2 linked regions of the Anolis sagrei genome follow. The protein of the gene in region 2 purifies or fractionates together with the protein of the main gene of each other region. This does not show direct contact. Links are inferred from orthologs where the notes say so. Each region holds a gene or a part of one and is shown on either strand. Other genes may lie near its edges.

Region 1 (7,300 bases), on a different chromosome or scaffold from region 2:
AAAAACATTACAGATGCTCATTTCCTATGAGCCTAGATGAACAGCAACTGAACAGGGAGATCAGATGTTGCCCTCATAGACACATGGAACTGATCAGCTAAGGCTACAGAATAAAAATGTCCTGCAAGTAAATCATATACATACTTTCCTGTGAATAAACACTATTGAAATTAATGGACCTACTTGGGAATAAGAATGCATGGACAGAATCATAGAGTGAGAAGGAGATCTAAGGGCCATCAGGTCCAAGGCAGGATTGCACTATTAAGATTATTATTTATATGGCACTGTTAATATTCATGGCACTATACAAAACAAATATGGCCTCATAAAGGCATACAACCTAATATACATATATATGATACAGAGAGATCATACTGGAAAGCATTGCATTATCTGGCTAAAGCTAGAAAAGAGAATTGCAGTGCAGGGCTTGTACTTGTTTCCCGCCCAATTGTCAAAAACAAAAGACTGGTATCTAGTCACTTCCATTATACTGCAGATACTTTTTAATTACTTTTAAGGTATTAAACATAAAAATGTGTGTAATTAACTATGCCTCATAGTTTATATTTAACCCCATGAAGAAAATGAAGACATGTTACAAAATTTGCTTTCCATTTTGTAAAGAATTTTTAAAAAAGTAAAATACTGTCTAAAAACTCAAACACAGCTGGACAGTTTGCTGAAAAATTAAAAATTATCTTCATCAAAACCAGGGTCAACAAAATGATGGATTACTGCCACCATTCAAACTGCAGGAAAAGAGATTCCACCTAAATATTAGAAAGTTGTTCAGCAGTGGAATATGGTGCCTGGGGGTGTAGTAGAGTCTCCTTCTCTGGAGGTTTTTAAGCAGAGGCTGGATAGTCATCTTTCAGGGTGCTTTGGTTGTGTGTTCCTTCATGGCAGGGAGTTGATACGGCTGTCCTTTGTGTTTTTTTCAAATGCTATGATTCTCTCTTATTCTAAACCAGAGCTTTCCAAACTGTGTGTTAGTTGCAGTGTAGATGTGTCACACAGAAGTAATGAGAAACCGCAAGTCAATGTGAAATAAGCAGTAAATCAAAAAAATTGAAAATATAAATGAGATACGCTGTGTCCATATACATTTCATCATTAGAATTTATGTAGTGCCCATATCTCTTGTAAGGGTTAGTTTAACCTATGGTTTGCTAGTAAAACTTAATAACTGTGTCACAAAAAAGATGCAAGTCTTAAATGTGACACCAACATTTAATGTTTGGAAAGCTCTAGTCTGAACCGTCCACAATTACCACACACAATTTATTCCCATTCAGAAAGTTACCAAGTTTGCATTTCTACTTTCTAGAGAAAGAAATAAAAAATGAGCAATCCTAAAATGTATATATAAAGCTAGATAGTGTGCTGAAAAACAAAAAAAAATCTTATCTCACTAAGACCACCAGATCAATGAAATGAAGAGTTACGGGCACCATTCTTTGTGACAGCTGAACACATGTTAAACACAGAAACACACAAACAAATTACTCCAAAACAAAGGAGCTGTAGGAAATAGGGGTCTAATGTGCATGATAGACATATAATGGAAGGGTACTTTCTGACAGTACCAGTAACTGCTTTTCAACCATATAATATGCTGTCTCAGAGTTTGGCAGAGTCTCCTTCTTTGGGAAGTTTTAAGCAGAGATTGGATGGCCATCTGTCAGGAGTGCTTTGATTGTATGTTCCTGCATGGCAAAAAGGGGTTGAACTGAGTGGCCCTTGTGGTCTCTTCCAACTCTATGATACTATTCCCTGTGATAGCTGAACACAAGTTACAAAGAGAAGCATACATTCTTTTCGACAGAATTCACTCAAAAAGGAAGGAGCTGTGAGGAAGACAGGGCAAGCATGGTTTCATATAATTATTCTTACAGATATGATGGTTTCAGGAAAAAGACAGCTTTAGTTTGAATTTTAAAAGTAAATTACAGTATAAATGTTCACATTACAAAGTTTGCTTTTTCTTTTTTTAGACAAATAAAAATAATCTGTCTGAAACACATACAAAGCTAGATAATGCGCCTAAAAACAAAACAAAAAATCTTCTCTCATACACATTGGTGTGTATATGGACACACCAAGAAGTAAGGGTCAGTAAGAGTAAGGCTGCTGCCACAATGCCCTGTGACAGCTGAACATGGTGATATACAGAAACACACGCACATATCTACATAAATCATGCAAAAAAGGTGGGCAGGAGCTGTGGGGAGTATTTCCATGCATAGGTTCATATAAACTATTCCTACTGAGGATGTTGATGATAATAACGATGATTATTAGTCACCCACCTCTCATGGCTCAAGAAATACATATATAAGAGACTAGCCATCCCCTGCCATGCATTCCTGTGGCCGAGTCTGTGTATATGCGTCTTGTATGTGTATATATGTGTGCATGTATTTCCGTATAGGTGTATAAATGTGGTTATGCACATGTGCTGTAATGTTTGTTTGTTTGTTTTTGGCTTTTTAAGTTTTTTCCACTGTGTTTTCCAGTGTTTTTAATAAGTGATGGTCACTTGTTGGCCTGATACGTGTATCGTATCCAAATTTGGTGTCAATTCGCCCAATGGTTGAGTTATGTTAATCTCACAAATGAGCATTACATTTTTATTTATATAGATTAAACTTGGAGCATGGCTTAAGCGGCTGAGGGGGGAAAGGAAGGGGCCTGAGGCTGTTAGGAATGGTGGGAGCTGAAGTCCAAAACGCCTGGAGGGAGGGCCGAAGTCTGCCCATGCCTGCCCTAGAGTGCACTGCTTACTACTGAAGGCGGGAGCCTCTCTGGGAGCGAATGACAGGCGCTGGGAGAAAGGAGGGAGAGAGGGAGCCGGCCAGGGGCAGCTCAGCCTCCTTCTGAGGCGCTCAGAGCCACAACTGAGGCCGCCCTACCCGGCCCCGCTTCCCTCCTTCCTTCCCGCCGGGGACTGACTCACCGACAGGACGCTCATGCGGAGCGGCGCCTCCAGCACACACGCCATCTTGGCGCGCCCCACTCGCGGCCCGGCGCTCAACCTCGCGCGAGGGACCCCGGGGTCACGACCGACGCCGCGCGCGACCACATCGCCGGCAAGAGGAGAAGAGGGAGGAGGGGGGAAAAGGAGGGAAGGAAGGCTCTCCTCCGTCTCGAATCAGCGAACGAGGAAAAACAGCTTTCGCCGCTCGCGAGGCAGTGCGCATGCGCCCTCAGCCGCTATTGGTGGGAAGGCGGGGTGATTGCCGGAAGTGGCATGAGAGTGACGCGCCTGCTCTACTTTTAGATCGCGGGGCGTTGCGCCCAACGGTGCTTAGTTGACGTCCCGCCCCAGGCGCATGCGCAGAAGAGGCGGCACCTGTCCAATGCCGTCCTTGGTAGTGAAGGAGGGGAGTGAAGGCAGGCTAGGGCGTATGTGTGGTCCTGTTGCGCCACCTACTGGCGAGCTGGGAAGTAACACTGGAAAAGTCTACTTTTAACTTCCAAGGCCCCTTGCACACACTCAGAGCCCTCTTAACTCATCATTGTTATTACTCAGCATGGTATTGTTTTTCTGATGTTATGTTTTATTGTGATACTAGCTGTCCCCTGCAACGCGTTCCTGTGGTCCAGTCTGTGTATATGTGTTTTGTGTGTGTGTATATGCATATATGTGTGTATACCCACAGACATCAGATCGGCTCCCTCATTAATGGCATTTCGGAAAAAAGTGAAAACCTGGTTATTTGAACAGGCGTTTGAATAGGCAGTGCAATGAATTACAATGAATTATAGGAAATCGGAACAACGGATGACGAGCTTGGATTATGATTTTAGTTATGAGACGCTAGTGAGTTGTTTATTGATGGTTATTGATGGTTATTGATGTTAATTGCTTAGTGTATTATTGCGTTAATTGTTTTTTAAATGGCTGTATGATGTTTGCATTGAATTTTTGCCGCTGCTTGTTGTTAACTGCTCTGAGTCGCCTAATGGCTGAGAAGAGTGGTATACAAATAAAGTAAATAAATAAATAAATATATTTGTGTATATGTTTATATATTGTGTTTGTGGATATATGTGGTTTTGCGCATGCGTTGTAATGTATTTTTTGGGGGGGTTGACTTTTTAAGTTTCTTCTGCTATGTTTTTCAGTGTTTTTATGAGTGATGGTCACTTGTTGGCCTGATAGGTGTATTGTGTCCAAATTTGGTGTCAATTTGTCCAGTGATTTCTGCGTTATGTTAATCCTACAAACAAACATTACATTTTTATTTATATAGATCAGTGGTTCTCAACCTGGGGTCCCCAGATGTTTTTGGCCTACAACTCCCAGAAATCCCAGCCTGTTTACCAGCTGTTAGAATTTCTGGGAGTTGAATGCCAAAAACATCTGGGGACCCCAGGTTGAGAACCACTGATATAGATGTTCTCCCACCCTGGATATCCCACAGACATATAAACCCAATTTTCCCAGTTTCCAACAGACCTCATAAGCTCTGAGGATGCCTGCCATCAATGCAGGTGAACTGTCAGGAGAGATTGCTTCTAGTGAAGGAGACAATGAGTGATTTTTGCAATAACTAAGCTTTGGCAACAAAACATAAGAAAGATATATCTCCCTGCAGGGAAAGAGCAACATGTCAGCAAGAGGGAGGATGTTCTTAAAAGAGAAGAAGTTTTGCAACCCCCCTGAGTGAGGTGACATATATGGTACATGCTTATGCTTGAGTTAAGTGGCTAAAATATTAAGTTGCTAACCTACTCAGCTTACATAGGAAATGGGTTTGTGGTGAAGCGCAAAATCTGCATAAAGAGAACAAATTGTTGTTTTGACAACCAGACATTCAGGCCAGGTGCAAGAAGGCACAGTTCATCAAAAGGTTAATGGGAGGGGGACTGGAAAGAGTAAAAGTACGTTCCATGACCAAAATATCTTTGTTTACCTTGTTGTATAAAAGTTTGAAGAAGCCGAAGAGTGGTACGGCAGTCACTTGCAAGTGTTGGTGCCTGCACGCACTTAACACGGCTGTCCGACTTCCTCGTGGCCATTATGAAAATAAAATGTTGTTTTTGATATTCTCCTGGGACTGCCTTCTTCCTTACGTGCTCCTGTGACCTGGACCTAAGTATTAGACCCGATTTAGGGTCTCTAACACTAGAACATGGCCATATAGCCCAAAAAACCTGCTACAATCCACTGTTCTTATTTTGTTTTGTTTTGATTTTATCTTATTGTGTTATGTTTTAACTTTGTTCTCTTTGAGCTTGTCCCTTTGAAGCTGCCCTGAGTCCTTTTGGGGAGATGGAGGCAGGGTATAAAAATAAAATTATTATTATTATTCCACACAGCTGCATAAAATCCACATTGACTGCATTATTTGACAGTGTGGACCCAGGTGTGGCACCTCAGTAGGGGTTCACCTTGCTCATAGCACTCACCAGGAAAGCAGACGTGGGAGTAAAGAGACTATTGATAAAACACATATAAGAAAGGGCCAATAGGGTAAAAATCCCATTGTTACTATAGAAGGCAAGTCCCATAGGCAATAGGTAAATCCAAAAACAAGAGTTACAACTTGAACATTAGAACAAGGAACAAAACAAGAGCATGAATCAGTACGTAAATCCTTAAAACAAGAAGCAAAACTTGACTAGGAATCTTGTGCCTTGAGCTTACAGAGCATGAACCAGGAACAAAACAGGAGTTTCCCACTCCAGTAGCGATGTTGCTTGATCTGGAATCCTAACAGCTCTCTCTCTCTCTCTCTCTCTCTCTCATTTAAAGGCTGCAAAATATGAATGCATTCCTTTGACCTTGAGAGGCCTGCTTCTGCCTCTCCTTCCCATGGCTTCGCTTGCACCTAAATTTATTCCCCTGCAGGAGCAGCCTGGTATCTCTGTCTAAGCCAACTGCTTCTTCGGATGAGCTCATGTTATCCTTCCTTCCCTGCCTGTCAGCTTCCAAAGTAGATTAATTCCCAGACTCAGAAACAACATCTTGCTCCAAAACCCCCTCCGTTCTCCCAACTGGAGAACCATCTTGCTCCAACACGCCCTCTGTCTGGGCACCACAGAACCATCAGGCCCTACACCCCCAAACCTCTCAAACACCAGGCCCCTTCCACAAAGCTGAATAAAACCCCACATTATCTGCATTGAACTAGAATCTATGGCAGTGTGGACTCAGATAACCCAGGGTCCTTCCACACAGCCATATAATGCAGAATATCAGGGCAGAAAATCCCACAATACCTGCTTTTAACAGAGTTATCTGAGTCCACACTGCTTCCAGTTCAAAGCAGATAATGGGTTTTATTCCACTCTGTGGAAGGGGCCATGAGTCTACACTGCCATATAATCCAGTTCATGAAGATAATCCAGATTTTATATGGCAGTGCAGAAGGGGCCTTATTTTCATTGAGGACCACATCAGCTTGAGGGTTGCCTTCATGCTGTGGAATCCATGGATGGAGAATCCATGGATACAGAGGGCCAACTATATTTTTTTCATATAGTGGTCAGTGCTGCTTAGTTTTTACCCAATTTGGGTCTCCAAGTGTTACTGAACAACAACTCGCATCACTTTTGATTATCTGCTATGAAGACTGGGGATAATGGTAGTTGTAACCCATATCCACAAGCCCTGGATCTCAATTTAAACTCTCCTGACTAAACAGAACAAACTACAGCCTTTCAGATATATCCCAATTCCCATTCACTGTAATCATTATTATTAATAACAATAATAATAATAACTTTATTTGTACCCTGCCTTTATCTCCCCAAAGGAACTCGGGGCAGCTGACATGGGGCCAAGCCCAAGCAATTACAATAAAGCAAAATAAAATACATACAAGACACACAATAACATCAAATAAATGTGCTTATACAATAACATAATAAGCCAATAAAGTAGTAACAATAGCATAATAAAACAGAATATAAAAACAGTACAAGAATTTAAATGAGGGCAAGCCGGGCCAAGTGCGAGAAGTAAAAATTGTAAAACCCGTGGGTGAGATAGATAAAGTGCTGTATTAAATGAGAGACCCGTCTGGGATAAACAATGAGGTTATTCTCAACTGAGGAATGAGACAAAGTGCATCAGAAAGACAATTGACACTGAGACAGGACTTGACATGGGAATTAGTTACTCGTTCTTCAAAAGTGCACCAGAAAAGCCAAGTTTTTAAGCTTTTCCTAAAAGCTGCCAGAGTGGGTGCTTGCCTAATCTCTCTGGGGAGCGAGTTCCAAAGCTGAGGGATCACCACAGAGAAGGCCCTCTCCTTCGTTTCCACAAGCCACGCTTGTGACACAG
Region 2 (7,253 bases):
AATTGGATTTTAGTTTTCTTTATTCCCACTAATATCTCGGTCACTTTCCAACTGGACAGTACCAAAATTGCTTAGAAAATTAAAATCAAAGTAACAACTAATGATATTGCTTTAAATTGCATTATATGGCAGTGGAAATGGGGTTAAAGCAGGCATGGGCAAATTTGAGTCCTCTTAAGCGGCTGAGGGGGAAAAGGAAAGGGCCTGAGGCTGTTAGGAATGGTGGGAGTTGGAGTCCAAAACACCTGGAGGGTCCGAGTTTGCCCATACCTGGGTTAAAGTGATAAAACCTTATTAGATTTTCATTCTTGGAAGTGAGAGTCAATAGGAGAATACCTTGCTATATTCAGGCCTAACTGGCTTTTTGCAATTTTTTTCTTATTTTAAAAAAATAAAAAGTTGATTACAAGGGCCAAATCCACACTTTCCATCTTAAATGTAAGCTGCTGATGTTGTCAATTTCTGCCCAGGCGACTCTGACTCACGGAGACCTTATGATTGAGAGACCTCACTGAGAGACCTCACCCTGTCCTCAACTGCTGTACTCACCTCTTGCAGATTCAGGGCTGTGGCTTCCTAGACTGAGTCTACTCATCTATAATGCAGTTTTCCTCTTTTCATACTACTAAGCATTATCATCTTTTCTACTGAGTCATGCCTTCTCAAGATCTGACACAGCGGATCTCAATCTTAGATAACAATCAATCCACTGGGTCATTGGAAGATCCTAAATCATCTTCAAGGACGATCCTATTTAGCATTGTCGGCTACCAATCCATACATGGAGGTTTTTTTATAAATAAAATTGAAAAAATGAGTTATAAATGGCAGGACATTTTTGACTAAGAGTACAATGTTATGCACAGATAAAAACTATCAAAATGGAATTTTAATTGACCGTAGTGCTCAAACTAGCAAGAGGTCACATGATATTTACTTATTGTTTATACTAGCCATCCCCTGCTACGTGTTGCTGTGGCCCAGTTTGTGTATATGTTTTGTGTGTGTATATGTTTGTATATATTTGTGTATATGTGTATATATGTGTGTTTGCGTATATGTATGTGGTTTTGCACGTATGTTGTAATGTAATTTTTGTTTTTTGGCTTTTAAAGTCTCTTCTGCTGTGTTTTTGGTGTTTTTATGAGTGACGGTCACTTGTTGGCCTGATAGGTGTATTGTGTCCAAGTTTGGTGCCAATTTGTCCAGTGGTTTTTGACTTATGTTAATCCCACAAACGAACATTACATTTTTACTTATATAGACTAGCTGTTCCCTGCTACACGTTGCTGTGGCCCAGTGTGGTGATCTGGAAAATAAAGTAATGAGAAAGTGTTGGTTTCTTATATGTGGGTGGCTTTATAGTGGTTCAATGCACACAAACTTTGTTTCAGGCACAAATAATATGACGAATAATATTGCAGTATAGTAATATATATATATATATATATATAGAGAGAGAGAGAGAGAGAGTAATAATATATAATACTAATATTGTGCTATTGTAATAATATATATAGGAGCCCCTGGTGGCGCAATGGGTTAAACCCTTGTGCCAGCTGGACTAAAGATCGACAGGTCGCAGGTTCAAATCCGGAGAGTGCACGGATGAGCTCCCTCTGTCAGCTCCAGCTCCCCATGCAGGGACTTAAGAGAAGCCTCCCATAAGGATGGTAAAAGATTAAAACATCTGGGCATCCCCTGGGTAACGTCCTTGCAGACGGCCAATTCTCTCACACCAGAAGTAACTTGCAGTTTCTCAAGTCACTCTTGAGAATATACACACACATATACATACACACACACACACATATAATAATAATAATACAATGTAATAATATATAATACAATATAACATATAGCAATATTGTAATATAATATTAATAATACTAATATATTAAATATAATACTGCTGATAATATATAATAATATATAATGATAATACTCATTTATTATTGTATATTTAAGTTGTATTGTAATATTTTTAATTGTGAGCTGCTTTGAGTCTCAAAATGGAAAGATAAAGTGGGATATAAATATATCTATATAAATAAAAATGTAAACACAGCAGAAGAGACTTAAAATGCAAAAAAATACCTCCCAAAAATTACATCACAATGCATGCGCAAAACTACACATATATATGCAAACACACATATATAAACAAATATATACACACACACATATATATATATATACACACATATACAGCCCCCCCCCCCAATCAAAATCCTGGCTACGGGCCTGGGTTAAGCAGTCAAGCCTCTAATGAACTGTGAAGTTGTGACCCTGAGTGTGCCTGGAATGCGTAGGGAGGATCCAGAGATAAGATTTCGTTCGTCCTTCTTACTTCGGTGCTTTTGTCTTGTTTCTGTTCTTTTGGTTGGGCGTCAATGTGAGTGTGTGCTGTATATTTGCTCTACTCAGTAAAGCTATACGTTTGCTTTTACTGAAGTCTCAAAGTGTCCATTCTTCTAAGCTTCAAAGCTTCTGTCGCACTCTGACACATTTGTAGGATTAACATAACTCAGAAAACACTGGGTGAATTGATACCAAATTTGGACACAATACACCTATCAGGCCAACAAGTGACCATCACTCATAAAATCACTGAAAAGCACATCAGAAGAGACCAAAAAAGCAACAAAAAAAACCCACACAAAAACAAACATTACACTGCATGCACAAAACCACATATATACACAAACAAAACACACATACACAGGCAGGCATGTAGCGGGGGGGGGGGGGCTTGAGGGGCTTCAGCCTCCCCCCCCCCCCCGAAATTCTCATGGTGGTCTGCGAAAGGCCTTACTGGTACATTATTTAAACTGTTATGTTTATTCATATCATGATCTGATCACCATGCTCAATATATCCCATATGCATGGGGGTATTGGGGTAATGATACAAAAGGTTTGCTAGGCTAGACCCTCTTTCACTCAGACTCAGCCCCCCCCCCCAATCGAAATCCTGGCTACGGGCCTGTACACAGACTGGGCCACAGCAACATGTGGCAGGGGATGGCTAGTAAATAAATAAAAATTGTTTAAAATATTGTGTATAAAATATTAAGGCTGTCTGTTTAAGGCAGTGTTTTTCAACCTGGGGGTCGGGACCCCTGGGGGGGGTCGCGAGGGGGTGTCAGAGGGGTCCCCGAAGACCATCAGAATATACAATATTTTCTGTTGGTCATAGGGGTTCTGTGTGGGAAGTTTGGCCTAATTCTATCATTGGTGGGGTTCAGAATGCTCTTTGATTGTAGGTGAACTATAAATCCCAGCAACTACAACTCCCAAATGTCAAGGTCTATTTTCCCCAAACTCCACCAGTGTCCACATTTGGACATATTGAGTGTTTGTGCCAAGTTTGGTCCAGATTGATCATTGTTTGAGTCCACAGTGCTCTCTGGATATAGGTGAACTACAACTCCCAAACTCAAGGTCAATGCCCACCAAGCTGTTCAAGCATTTTCTGTTGGTCGTGGAATTTCTGTGTGGCCAGGTCTGATTCAATTCCATCGTTGGTGGAGTTCTGAAAGATCTTTGATGGTAGGCAAACTAGAAATCCCAGCAACTACAACTCCCAAATGACAACATCAATGTACTCCACCAGTATTCAAATTTGGGTGTATTGGGTATTTGTGCCAAATTTGGTTCAATGAATGAAAATCCATCCTGCATATCAGATATTTACATTATGATTCATAACAGTAGCAAAATTACAGTTATGAAGTAGCAACAAAAATAATGTTATGGTTGGGGGTCACCACAACATAAGGAACTGTATTAAGGGGTCGCGACATTAGGTAGGTTGAGAACCACTGGTTTAAGGTGTATATGAAACATTAAATACATTTTGTGTTGGGAGTTGGTCCCATTTCCAAGATACCTCATTATGTATAGGCAAGTGTTTCAAAATACAGTTTTAAAAAAATATCCGAAATCCTTCTGGTTCCAAGTCTTTGGGATAAGGGATGCTCAACGTGTGTAAACAGCACCAGACCTGAGTCACCCAGTGGAAGCACTCAGGCTGACCCTTCTTAATAGGCACTTTTGCTGTTTTCCCCAAATGGGCAAGCCCACGCTTGATTTACCAATGCTCCTAGCTACACCCTCCTGAGCTCTCCAAATCGACCCGCGAAGAAATGGTTCCTTCCAGCGCTGCGCGTCACTTTCGGCTTGGGAAAAAAAAAAGAAGACTGGTTCCACCCAGCTGTTGCCGGCCGGTGGTTCATTCCAGGCACACCCTCCTCCATAGGAATGGTTTGCCCCATCATCAGAGAACTTTATCATGCCGGGACCAAGGGAAGGAGGAGGCGCTACATTAGAACAATAATTATGATCGCCCTGCCCCGGACTGAAGGGAATTGAACGTCTCATCCCGCGGCTCTCAGGTTAGCTTTTCTTGAGTTCCCCCTTTCCCAGCCAAGTGGTATAGCCCGCGTCCCCTATATCTACTATTATGGGGGAATGTACCATTGTTGTATTGGGGGGGAGGAGAGAGAGAGTGGTAGGGAGGTGGCTTGGGTTGGAGGGCTGGGTTTATAAGACACATACGGGTCTTTCTTCAAGTGCCCTCGAAAGGGTCCAATAAAGGGCTGTATAGGGTTGTGTCTCCCTCCTTAACCCCCTCCCCCTCTTTTCCTTTCTCTTCAGCCAGACTAGACTGGAGGCTCTCGCGCTGCTCTCGCGCTTCCTTCCGGACCCATGGAGCGATGCGCCTGCGTAGAAAGGGAGCTGGACAAAGTGCTGCAGAAGTTCCTCTGCTACGGGCAGCACTGCGAGCGGGGCCTGGAGGAGCTCCTCGGCTACGTCACCCGGCTGAGGGAGGAGCTGGGCGCCGCAGGTACAAGCGGGGCCTACTCACAGCCGGCTCCCTCCTTCCTCAACTGGCGAACAAAGGAGTCTAGAGCAGGCCTGGGCCGGCTTGGGCCCTCTGGGTGTTTTGGACTCCAACTCCCACCATTCCTAACAGCCTCAGGCCCCTTCCTTTCCCCCCTCAGCCGCTTAAGCGGCTGAGGGGGAAAAGGAAAGGGCCTGAGGCTGTTAGGAATGGTGGGAGTTGGAGTCCAAAACACCCAGAGGGCCCAAGCCGGCCCAGGCCTGCTCCATCCATTCAGTTTCAAGTGGAATGTGCTCAAGTTCACTGTTAATGGCAGTTAGTGATATCAAACCTCTGGAATTCTGCGTTGAATTGAACAGAAATGGCTGGAAATGGGCTTTGTTGAACTAGAGTTTGGGCAATGCCAGAGGCACAATAACAAAGGATACATTGCCCCACATGCCACCACACAACCAAGTCAATGTACCCAAAGAAACGCATCGTATGGTGATGGTATGAAAGCTGGGTCTGGAAGCTCTGAGTGTTACACTGTTTCCGCTTTGCTCCTTTGGGAGTGCTGTTTGCGCAACGCAGAACAGAACACAGATATTATAGAAGGAATGTAAGAGTTCTTTAATGGTAAAACCCTAACCCTTACCTGAACCCTAATGCTTATCCTAAAACCTAAAGGTTTTCCCTGACATTAAGTCCAGTCGTGTCCAACTCTGGGTGCTCATCTCCATTTCTAAGCCGAAGAGCCGGCATTGTTTGTAAACACCTCCAAGGTCATGTGGCCGGCATGACTGCATGGAGTGCCGTTACCTTCCTGCCGGAGCGGTATATATTGATCTACTCACATCTGCATGTTTTCAAACTGCTAGGTTGGCAGAAGCTGAGGCTGACAGTGGAAGCTCACGCCGCTCCTCGGATTGGAACCTCTGACCTTTCAGTCAACAAGCTCAGCAGCTCAGGGCTTTAACCCACTGCACCACTGGGGGCTCCTATCCTAAACCTTACCCTAACCCTAACCAAACCCTAAACCAGGAGTCCTCAAACTTTTTAAACAGAGGGCCAGGTCACAGTCCCTCAAACTTGGATGGCCGGATTATAATTTGAAAAAAAATATGAATGAATTCCTATGCACATTGCACATATCTTATTTGTATATGTGCAATGTGCATAGGAATTCATTCATATTTTTTTTAAAAACAGTACAATAATTAAGATGAAGAACAATTTTAACAAATATAAACTTATTAGTATATCAATGGCAAGTGTGGGCCTGCTTCTTCACTGATGAGATAGGATTGTTGTTGTTGTGTGCTTTCAAGTCATTTCAGACTTGAAAGCGAGGGCCGGGTAAATGACCTTGGAGGGCTGTATCTGGCCCTCGGGCCTTAGTTTGAGGACCCCTGCCCTAAACCTTACCCTAATCCTAACCCTTAACCTTACCCTAAACTTTATCCTAACCCTCCCCTCCTTTCTATCCTTCCACCAAATGCAACTACGAAGTATATTCCCGCCCTCAGTGTTCTGCTATCCCCTTCCCTTATTCAGAACCGCCATTGCAGAATATGTGTAACGCTCGGAGCTTCTGGACCCAGCTATCATACTATCGCCCATCGTATTTTGCCACATGAGATGAGATAATAATAATAATAATAATAATAATAATAATAATCTTTATTTATACCCTGCCACCATCTTCCCAATGGGGACTCGGGGTGGCTAACATGAGGCCAAGCCCAGAAATAGCAATACAATAAAACGAAAAAGATTTCAAAGAAACAAAATAGCATCAAATTAACACAAGGAATGACAAAATAAAATAAATAATCTCAAAATAACATGATAGAAAATGAGCCCTGCAAACTCCTCTTCCCTTCTGTGGGGATGGAAAACATTAAAGATAATATCAGGACAGTAAATAAAGAGCAATACTCAAAATTCCAGACAAGAAACAATCAGGGCCAGCTAATACCTCGCTACAAAGGATCTCCCAGGCAGCTGTCAGCCAGGTTTTGAAGCTGCAGGGCCATTCAGTGCTAATTAGGGAGCCCCTGGTGGCGCAGCAGATTAAACTGCAGAGCTGCTGAACTTGCTGACAGAAAGGTTGGCGGTTTGAGTCTGGGGAGCAAGGTGAGCTCTCGCTGTTAGCCCCAGCTTCTGCCAACCTAGCAGTTTGAAAACATGCAAATGTGAATTGATCAATAGGTACCGCTCTAGCAGGAAGGTAACAGCCTTCTATGCAGTCATGCTGGCCACCTGAGGAGGCATCTACAGACAACGCCAGTTTTTCAGCTTAGAAATGGAGATGAGCACCACTCCTTAGAGCTGGACATGGCTAAACTTAACGTCAGGGGAAAACCTTTACCTAAGGTGTCCATTTGCAATATTCACACATGCCTCAAGCAGACAAGAGTTCTTTC

Evidence for each region.
Region 1: the proteins of RMND5B (region 2) and ARMC8 purify together in Homo sapiens (affinity purification with mass spectrometry; 4 studies listed by BioGRID and IntAct, with this or other methods). This does not show direct contact. The link is inferred for Anolis sagrei from reciprocal best matches to the Homo sapiens genes RMND5B and ARMC8.

Annotation. Positions count from the first base shown.
Region 1 is NC_090023.1:222,117,368-222,124,667, forward strand, and holds the start of ARMC8 (armadillo repeat-containing protein 8), read right to left. Parts: upstream 3,221-7,300; 5' UTR 3,008-3,220; coding exon 2,963-3,007; intron 1-2,962. UniProt on the Homo sapiens protein: Component of the CTLH E3 ubiquitin-protein ligase complex that selectively accepts ubiquitin from UBE2H and mediates ubiquitination and subsequent proteasomal degradation of the transcription factor HBP1.
Region 2 is NC_090022.1:76,387,410-76,394,662, reverse strand, and holds the start of RMND5B (E3 ubiquitin-protein transferase RMND5B), read left to right. Parts: upstream 1-4,214; 5' UTR 4,215-4,396; intron 4,397-4,658; exon of another isoform or gene 4,659-4,662; 5' UTR 4,663-4,709; coding exon 4,710-4,848; intron 4,849-7,253. UniProt on the Homo sapiens protein: Core component of the CTLH E3 ubiquitin-protein ligase complex that selectively accepts ubiquitin from UBE2H and mediates ubiquitination and subsequent proteasomal degradation of the transcription factor HBP1.